2 linked regions of the Rattus norvegicus genome follow. The protein of the gene in region 2 binds, or shares a complex with, the protein of the main gene of each other region. Links are inferred from orthologs where the notes say so. Each region holds a gene or a part of one and is shown on either strand. Other genes may lie near its edges.

Evidence for each region. Proteins that work in one complex are often made in the same cells at the same time.
Region 1: the proteins of Itgam (region 2) and Ptn are in contact, whole or in part, in an NMR structure (PDB 8VOH), measured with the Homo sapiens proteins. The link is inferred for Rattus norvegicus from reciprocal best matches to the Homo sapiens genes ITGAM and PTN. Residues at the interface, in NP_000623.2 of Homo sapiens: Pro273, Asp276, Arg277, Gly279, Val280, Ile281, Arg282, Tyr283, Lys306, Pro307, Arg309, Asp310, His311, Ala334, Ile335, Glu336, Gly337, Thr338, Gln339; in NP_001308315.1 of Homo sapiens: Val56, Pro57, Thr58, Ser59, Asp61, Cys62, Gly63, Leu64, Thr66, Glu68, Thr79, Lys81, Thr82, Gln83, Arg84.

Annotation. Positions count from the first base shown.
Region 1 is NC_086022.1:66,338,741-66,343,993, reverse strand, and holds the start of Ptn (pleiotrophin precursor), read left to right. Parts: upstream 1-1,661; 5' UTR 1,662-1,726; intron 1,727-5,253.
Region 2 is NC_086019.1:192,105,976-192,110,687, reverse strand, and holds part of Itgam (integrin alpha-M precursor), read right to left. Parts: intron 4,529-4,712; coding exon 4,375-4,528; intron 2,897-4,374; coding exon 2,746-2,896; intron 2,060-2,745; coding exon 1,986-2,059; intron 1,526-1,985; coding exon 1,396-1,525; intron 1,144-1,395; coding exon 1,001-1,143; intron 1-1,000.

The DNA.
Region 1 (5,253 bases), on a different chromosome or scaffold from region 2:
GAGGAAGGTATGCGTGAAGAGGATAGTCTGTAAGGAAGACAGATCAGGTGTGCAAATGAATTTCCGCCGATTCTTTCCTTGGGGGACATGGGGAGGTGGAACAAACCAAGACTGATGGACTAAAAGCTCTACTCCTGCAGGGACACCTTTGTCTGGAGATGACTCTTGTGCACTGGCACAGGTATCAGTCAATAGAAGACCCGCAGTCCTTAAAACTGCTTGCCATAGACTAATGGTTCTAAATTTAGGAAAGGAGTGGTCTTGAGACCTGAGGGCTTAAAGCACCTATAGAATCCATAGGATCTACCAGTTGAGTTGACGAGATGTATCTTTGGGACGGTGAGAAAATTGGAGCCAGTTTTATAATTTGGACCTGTTTGGGTAAATTGGAGATTTACGCCATCTTTTCCCATCACTTTCTATGTGACACTCAATACTGGTCTGTCACTTTATGCTCTCCTTGGTTAAAGGAGAGGCAGATCTCAGAACGCCAGGAGTGTCCACCCTCTGAGTCTTAGAAAGCCCAGAGCTTGAGCCGCACTGATTATAACCCTGCGTTCTTTGCCAAGAGCATGTCAGTGTCACAAAATATGTGACCCCGGAGGCACCGAAGAAGCCAGGAATGGAAAAATCCCCTAAAGGAAAGTGACATTTAATTGGGAATGTTCAGAGATCTGTCACTCCTTGTGACAACCCAGAAAAAGTGCTTTGGGGCTTTGTGACTGTAGGTGAGCTGCAAGTAGCAACTGAAGTTAGCAGGGACTCCGGGCAGGGAGGCCTTTAGGGGTGGAGAGCAAGGGACAGCTGCCTTTGCACATCGCTCCCTCAAACCTGAATATCATGTTGTTGTTGTTGTTGTTGTTGTTTTCTTTTTAAGCGCCTGACCAAAACTGCAGTTTAAAATGCAATCAATTTTCCGATTAAGAAATTAAGATATCGGGGCTGGGGATTTAGCTCAGTGGTAGAGCGCTTACCTAGGAAGCGCAAGGCCCTGGGTTCGGTCCCCAGCTCCGGAAAAAAAAAAGAAAGAAAGAAAGAAAGAGAGAGAGAGAGAGAGAGAGAGAGAGAGAGAGAGAGAGAGAGAGAGAGAGAAAGAGAGAAAGAGAGAAAGAGAGAAAGAGAGAAAGAGAGAAAGAGAGAAAGAGAGAAAGAGAGAAAGAAAGAAAGAAATTAAGGTATCCAGATCGATAAGTCGAGGTGTGGACCCATGGGAGGGGGAAAAACCAGTGCTTGGGAGTTTGTACAAGAAATACCGTGCTGGGTGGATGCTAAGAACAAATGGTCTTATATCCCATGGTCTTTCTACGCAAATCCGTTTGGGGAAAGACTGCCCCCAGAGTAGCCGGCTTTTCATAAGCTTCCCAATCAGATTTCGGGGGCAAAGCACTCCCCCCTCCCTCGCACAGCCTGCTTCTTCTCTCTGCCCGCTCTCTTCCCTCCCATTCTCTATTTCCCTCCCCGGCAGGGTGTAATTGAGTGAAGGCAGGATCAGGTTCCCCGCCTTCCCGTCCAAAAATCCCGCCAAGGAAGCCCCAGAGCACAAGAAAATCCAAAGTGGAGAGAGGGGAAGAAAGAAAGCACTGAGTCATCCATCCAGAAGGGGGGAGAGCGCAGCCGCCCAGGCAGGAGCAGCAGCCAGCGATACCTGGAGTCCGTTGCAGAAACCTCGCCCTGCACTTTGCAACAAAGGCAGCCTGCTAGTCAGCAAGGACATCTGCAAGCCAAAGTAAGTGCAAGGCACCCTGTGGATTTCCCCCAAAGGGTCTCTGGTGGAGTGTGCCTACCCCAAAGCCACTTTTCCTGGCAGCCTGCAGTACGTGGGGGTTGGAACTGGAGAGAAGCTGCCTGGAGTCCGCTAAATAGGACTGCCTTTAAGAAACGGACTTGCTCCAGAAGGCAAACCAGCCGAACGGAAATTTGGGGGGACGAGTTCAGTAACCTAGCCTGTGCTTGGATGGGAAGAAGGAAAGCAGCTTTTGTGCTGAGGAGGGAGAGTGCATGGGGATGGCATTCCTGCTACCTGCTGGAGCATGCAAAGCGCGGGAGAGGGCACATTTGTGCTCTTTGTAAAGCCTGGAGCTTTTGGTGGGTGTGTCTGGCCCAGTCGGCGAGAGAGAAGGAAGGGTGTTCCAGCAGGCAGGTCTCATTTTCCTGCCTCCACTTCTCAGGTTGCCCTAGAGCTTGCCAACTGCCAACTGCTGCCCGCTCTAGGTGTGGTACATGCCTGGCAGCCTGCCCCTCCTGTGTCTGCTGATGGAGAAGCATCTCTCCAGAACAGCCTGCACTCCCTAGCTTGCCTGCCCGCCGGCCCAGGAATGCTTCTAGAAACAGTTCAGTCCAAAGTTTCAAAGACATGCCTTGGATTCTACCTTTGCTTGGTTGGGGTGCTAACTGGCACATGAGCACTTACATTTTCAGTTTTCGCCAAATAAACCAGGGATGTGGTAAAGACTAGTTTGGCAGACACACAGAATTTCTGAGGTGATATCCCAGTTGTTACCATAATGTATTTATGTATTTTGAGAACGTAGTCACTTCTTTTTTTTTGCGCATAAAACATAACCTTTCCTCTGTTCTAAAATGTGTGTGCGTGCACACACACACACACACACACACACACACACACATTTCTACAGAATATGATGTGGAACATAAATACAAGAGCACATGTGTAATTCGCACACAGATTGCTAACTAGTTCTTGTCTCCCTAGTAATAAGGACTTTGGAGCTGTAGGGGCAGAGTGAGACGGTGGAAGTAGAGTGGGTGCCTCAAGGAAGGAAAGAATGCTCACCTCAGGGGAGAACAAAGTAAGAGCATTCTAACGGGTCGACATCTTTCCTCTTGAAACTACCAGGCATAGTTTAAGAAAGTGTGTGTGTGTGTGTGTGTGTGTGTGTGTGTGTGTGTGTGTGTGTGTGTGTGTGTGTGTGTGTGTGTTGGAGGGAAGTGCCTGGGAGGCACTTCAGGAACTACCAAAGAAAAGCTTTTGAACTAACAACATAATGGAGCAATTTCACAGGCAAATGTGGAGCTGATGAAACGGTACAGCCCATTTTGGCCCTTTGATCATCTGGGAATGAATTGTTTTGTGAGAATATTAAAAGGTAATGAGAACGAAACAAAAGAGAAGTCGGCCAACACAGACTAGAAGGCTGGTCTTTTCCAGATTCATTATGTCCTTTTAAAGTAAATGATGTGCCTTCAAGGCCAAGCCATTAGAAACACTTATAGTCCAGTTCAATTCAAGGGAAACTAGGGTATCCTCCCACTCCTCTTTGGGACCTGTGTTATTTTAGACCACCAATAATGGTTATTTCTTATCAAAATGAAGTCACTTTATTTTAAAACCCCAATACCATGCTTTTGAACTATAAGAAACTTTAAAAAATTCTCTCATCAGAGTTAAAGTCTTTAGACGAAGGCAATCTTTCTCCTGCTGCTCACAGACCAGGTCTTTCTCACCTAGCAGACTGCCTTTATTTACAATGCCTTCTCCAGGCCCCACCCAGCTAGCTATAAACCCTAGCCCCTCTCTGGATCAAAGTGTTTCTTTGTGGCTCAAACACTTTATATTATCAGTGGTAGAGCTGTGAGAGAAACAGACCTACTGTTAACACGAAGTTTCGTCATCTGATTCCTAAATAATATCCCATGGGGGATGAGAATAGAATATTCTACATATTGTATTGTGTGTATTATATAGTATTTAATTGTAATCCAGAACCCCAATTTACCTCTTTAGTGAAAGTTTTATGTTTCTTTTTTCTTCATTTGTTTCTTTATTGTTTTCTTTGTTTCTTTTTTATTTTATTATTATTGTTCAAGATAGTTTCTCTATGTAGCCTTGGCTGTCCTGGAACTCACAATGTAGACCAGGTTGGTCCCTGACTCACAGAGATTTGCCTGCCTCTGCTTCTTCTGTTCCAGGATTAAAGGTATGCACCCTCACCTTCAGATAATTTCCATGTTTCTTATTTGGTCATTACAAACAACAGTCTGAAGCAAGATCTGAATTTTCTTTTTTGTAACCGGGTAATTGTTTCCTTGCAATTCAACGACATGGTTTGCATTTTCACAGAAACCTGTACACTGAAAATAACACAAGATCCCCAAATAGTTTGTTTCTATCAACAAAGTTAATCTTAGAAATCAAATATTTTAGGTTTTTAAGTTTTTATTTTCTCTTGCAGATATTTCTGATTTCTCATTTTAGTAGCAATCCCGCTTGGCATTCATGCTCTTATGCCTCTCTGTGTTCCCTGGAACACTCTAAATTTGCCCGAGCTGTTTGAGCTGCTGAGATGCTAACAATAGGCTGAAGTCAGAAGTAAGGTTACAAGTGGCAGCTCCCCAAACACTTGTGCTCTTAACATGGCAACATGGTAACAAGGGTCTTATCCTTGGCTCTTGTACTGATGATAAGGCCCAATTGAGACTACTCAGGGCAGTGGGGCAGCAAGGGTGCTCCACACCAAGGAGTTCCCCTGACTTCCTTTGAAGAGTGCTTTATACTGGCTCATCCACCAGGGCAGAGCTCTGTACGGCTTGTGACCCATGCTTTGTGGGGAAAGCTGGGCTGGGTGAGGACACCAGTCTCATGAGCAAACGGAAGAAGCACTTTTGTATCCTGTGGTACAGGCCGTGCTTTCTCCCTGGGAGTGAGGGTGAAGGAACATGTGGTTATGGGCTACTTCTTTGGGAGCTGGGTCTGTTTTTTCCATCCTGGGTCAATTGGCTTGAGGACAATTAGGGAAGTCTTCCAATTCTTGGTGATTAAGACTTGTCCAAGATACCATTGTGTTGGGCTATTTTTCTAGGCACTATGAGCCAGACTTGTAGATAGCAGTTTGCATGTTGCTACTACAATCTTTCTGGATCAGTAACTACAACAGGTCTTTCATGACTATGTGAGGTATTTGTTTAAAAGGGTAGCTATGAACAAACACCATTGAGGGCTTATACCTATGGCAACACTTGAAAATTTGATGATGCAGCTCACCTTTACTGTAATTCCTCATGGATTAAGGATAGGCAGGGATGGGCTGGAGAGATGGCTCAGCCATTTAAAGACTAGGCTGACGACCAAAAATATAAGGCTAGGCAGGGATAATGTAAACAATAGTTCATGCCTGAGACATTTTGAACAATAACGTTTAATCTTGAGCAATAAAGTTTAATTTTTCCTAGTGATGTTTGTGTTTAGAGTCATTTTATTGTACCGAGTTTAAATAAAGTCCCACCTCAAATAGA
Region 2 (4,712 bases):
CTACCTCACCCTCTTGCATACTGAGATTTTTCTGCACAGAGTACCATACCGGGTCTTATAAATTTTGCATTGGAAAGCATACTTCTTTTTTGAGATTGTTTTGGTTATTCTGGGTCTTTTACATTTCCCCATGAACTTTGACACCAGTTTGTCCACATGAGGCATCTTAGAGAAACAGCCACTTATCAGCAGATGTGGAATTACTTCAGTATTTTTATGTGTATGTGTATGGGGGTGCCTGTGCGTGTGTGTGTGTCTGTGTGTGTGTGTGTGTGTGTTAGAGAGAGAGAAAGAGAAAGAGAGAGACAGACAGACAGACAAGAGACAGAGACAAAGAGACAGACAAGAGACAGAGACAAAGAGACAGAGATAGAGAGGGAGGGAGAAATGGAGAGAGGGAGAGAGAAAGCCAGGGTCAACCTTAGGGGTCATTCTTCGATAACTAGCTACCGTGTTTATTGAAACAGAGTCTCTCATTGGTCTGGAGTTCACCAAGTAGGGTATACTGGCTAGCCAGGAAAGCTCAAAAGATCCCCCTGTCTCCACCTCCCCAAATTTTTAATGTGGTCTCTGAAAATCAAACTCATGTCTAAGTTATCTCCCCAGCCCATCAACAAATATGGAATTGTTTCCATATTTTAACATCTAGTGTGGCTATACTGGTTATGTCCTAGCTGAATGCCAACTCCAGAAACAGGTAGTCATAGAAAGCTCTATACAGGTTAAATATTACTAGTTACCGCTAGAAATGCCGAGGCTAGCACAGGGCTATAGCTCAGTGGCAAAGCACTTGCCTAGCACGTGTGAAGTCTTGGGTCCAAACCCCAGTACCACAGCAAAAGGAAGAAAAGTCAAAGGCACACAGCATTCTCATACACAAAGCTGGCCTGGGACTCTAACATAAAGCCCTGCAAAGACGGCCACACATGGCACTGTTCTGTCCTAGATTCTCTCAGTTCTGGATGTCTCTGTATTCATGCCTCACACACTCCACACTTACCTGGCTGCCCTTGATATCAGTGTGGGGCTCCCAGGCACCGAAATTCTGCTTGAACATCACCACCAGGCCGATATGCTGATATCGAGGTGCCCCTAAAACCAAGCTTTGGACGCGGTTCCTCGAGATGACTGCAGAAGCATAACCTAAAAGGAATGCTTTAGTAGGCCAAGTGTTTTCACTGCAGACCTGGCCCTCCTTTCCACGGTAGGGCCATTCTCAAGTAAGGGAATAGAGCATCCCCATGCTTGATGTGTCGGTGTAATTACTGTGAACACAACTAAAAGTAAATGTTTAAAAAAGAATCTCTACGGCTATCCCAAGGGCCAGCAAAAGAGCCAATGGCCTCCATGTCAGCTGACTGATGTCACATCCTCACCCCTTCCTAGAGCACTTACCCAAGTAAGCATCGTTCATGTCTGAATCTATTCTGGTTGTGTTGATGAAAGTGGCTTTATCCTTTGATGGATACAGGAAGGCTCCACCTGCCCAGTCAAAGCTCCCCACGGAGCCCAGCAAGGGACCGTTCTGGGGAAGGGAGCATAACAGGATTGAGAGAAAAAGGAAGTGCGGACCAGTGGTGCCCACCAAAAAGCCTCCCCCATGAAACCCTGCCCCAAACCCTCGAGCCTCCATCATGAGAATCTCCCCTATGACATATGGAAGCATGGTCTATCAATAAAAAGGCTATGGTCGGTGATCTAAGGCAGGATTAGGAGGGAGGACATCTGGCAGGGAGAGGGAGGGGAATTCTGGGAGAGTCAGGCTGGAAAGATTCGCCCTGAACTCGGGAGGAGACGGTTGCATGAGACTGAAGGAGAGGTAACTAGCTATGTGGAAGACATAGACTAGTTTAAACGGGTTATATAATTAACTGAGCTAATCGGGGAACAAGCTGAAGCTTATGGCCTAAGCATTTATTAACATGTAACTAAGCCTCAGAGTCGTTATCTCTGGGAACAAAGAGGCCAGATGCAGGACCACTCACAGAGGTAATGGCAGCGCTAAAGCCTTCTTGAGACATCTCATGCTCAAAGGAGCTGGTACTTCCTGTCTGGGTGCCTGTAAGGAAGAAAATGTCCCTTGTTAAAGCAAGCAGAAAAGCGTAGACCAAATACCCAAAACCTCAAATGCTATCGTCACCACGCAAAGGGAGGCTCTGGTGTTGAACTAAACACATGCACCTCACAGGGATGGCAGCCCTTCTGTCACTGCTACCTTTTCCAAGGAAAAATGGGGTCCTCCAGATATTTAACCTTCCAACTTTTCCACAGAAACCATAGATCCAGGTGACATGTGGAGTGCCCTATTCAGTCAGGTGTGGTAGCACATACGTGTAGCACTTGAGAGGCTGAGGCAAGACTACCAAGAGTTCAAGGTCACCCTGGACTACAAGGTAAGACTAGAACTCAAAAATATATCCCTCTAAACATTTATCAAACTTGTAAATGTATTCAATAAATCCTTGTTGACCATTTCTCTGTAGCACACACCAGGCAGAGGAGATGTGACAGTAAGTCAAACAGTGCTCATAGCAGACATAAATTCTTGGTAAAACATTGTGCAGGATTTGAATCCACTGTGCTACAGTTTGATCATCGTATACCCTAGACCTGAGAATTAAAGACAAAAATCTAGCTTTGCTTATTCAAAAGGATGGAGCAAGTCAGACCCAAATGGCTGGAGAGGAGCTGACGCTGGGGTCCAGATGCTAAGTAGGAACCGCTGGTCTGCACTGGCCGGCTCACCCTCAATTGCAAAGATCTTTTCCTGGAGCTGGTTCCGAATGGTATTCAGAGCTTCAAAGTTGTCCACTTGGAACACGTGATCACCAGCTGGCTTAGACGCGATGGTGTCAAGCTCTCTGCGGGACTGTGGTTTGTGGAAGGCGTTTCCCACCTGTTGCCAAGGAATCAAGTTATATGTTCTCTAATGGTAGCAGTCCCGTGTAGCAAAGAAAATCCCTTGATGAAAGAATCTGAAACTCTTTCTGTCCCATAAAGAGTTCAGCAGAAGGCTTCTTAGAACAGGACTGTCGGGGACAGTTAGGCAGGTTGCACAGAGCATGGGGAGCAATGTGGTCTCCAGATGGCCACCCATCTGTTATGCCATTCCTCCTGGTATGGGGCTGACATCTCGCCAGCAAAAGAGATTCCTTTTTTTATTATTATTTTGCTTATAAGTCTACCTTTTTCTCTCTGTGTGTGTATGTGTGTGTGTATGTCTGTGTGTCTGTGTGTGTGTCTTTGTGTCTATATGTGTATGTGTTTGTCTGTGTGTCTCTGTATATGTGTGTTTCTGTGTGTGTGTGTGTGCATGCGTGTGTGTGTCTATATGTCTGTGTGTGTGTATGTGTGTGTTTCTATATGTCTCTGTGTGTCTGTGTGTGTATTTGTGTGTCTCCGTGTGTGTGTCAGTGTATTTGTGTGTCTCTGTGTGTCTGTGTGTGCATGTGTGCCTGTGCATGTGTGTGTGTGCATGTGTACATCAGTGTGTGTGTGTATGTGCGCACGCACGTGCATTGTGTGTCTGTAGCCAGAGTTGTCAGATCCCTTGAAGATGGGTTACAAGCTGTTATGAGCCACCTGACCTGGGTGTTGGGAATTGAACTCTGGTCCTCTGGAAAAGCAGTAAGTGCTCTTACTAAGCCGTCTCTCCAGCCCCAAGAGAAGCATTTTTATATGTGAAGGTCCTTCTTATATGCCACACTATCGGTTTATGATGCTTTTTTCTGTTATTCAAGGTGGCTCATAAGCGTAATTACATTGGTGATCTAACATTTTACCTTTCTGGACCCAAACATTTCTCCCAAATTCTGCCATGCCCACCTTGATGGAATATCCTGCCCCACTCACTGTCTTTGTGTCAGCCATGGTTGCTACCAAATGTGATACAAATAGAAGTTTGTTAAAAAACAAACAAACAAACAAACAAAAAAAAAACCACGCCAGCAATATCTACTCCCTCCCCTCTGTCTTTGTCATGAGAGCATCCCCCGGTGAGGCCACTGGAAAATGAGACCCAGCGGGCAGTAGAGCCAAGTTACCCAACTTGTTCCCAGCAAGGCCATCTTCCCAGCAGACAAACATAAATCATCCACAAGTGGGGAGAGCAAAGACAACCCCAGCAGATCTGTCCTCAGCCTGCAGCTAATGGCAGACATGTAAGTGAGTCTTGCTGAGACCAGGAAACAACCTGCTGACTGACAGGCTGACTTATAAAACCCCTGTACTTGGAATTGTTTGTTACACATACAGCATTATTGCGTGAGAGTCTTCCTTTAATTTTACCAATATTTGCACATTGAAGACAAAATGCATTGGTAGAAAATCTCCAGTCTCAACAGAGGTAGCAAGCCCGATATCTGTATTTCCTACCCCAATAACGTAGCGAATGATCCCTGCTTCCTCTGCCTCAGGAATGACATCCTCATAATTTAGGGGGTCACCAAACTTTTCTCCGTCTGTGATGACAACTAGGATCTTCGCGGCATTGTCCCGGGCCCCATTGATTTTCTGAAACAGTTCTCTCCTGTGAGAGAAGAGAATGGCAGACGCACGAATGCAGAGACGCCAGCCTCCGGCAGGAGACAGCTTCAGTTAGGATCACAGGAACTGAGCCTGCTGTCTGGGTGGGGCTGTCTCCCCTACTGAGTTTGACTGGTTTTGGTTTTGTTGGGTTTTTTTTGTTTTTGTTTTTGTTTTTTGGGTTTTTT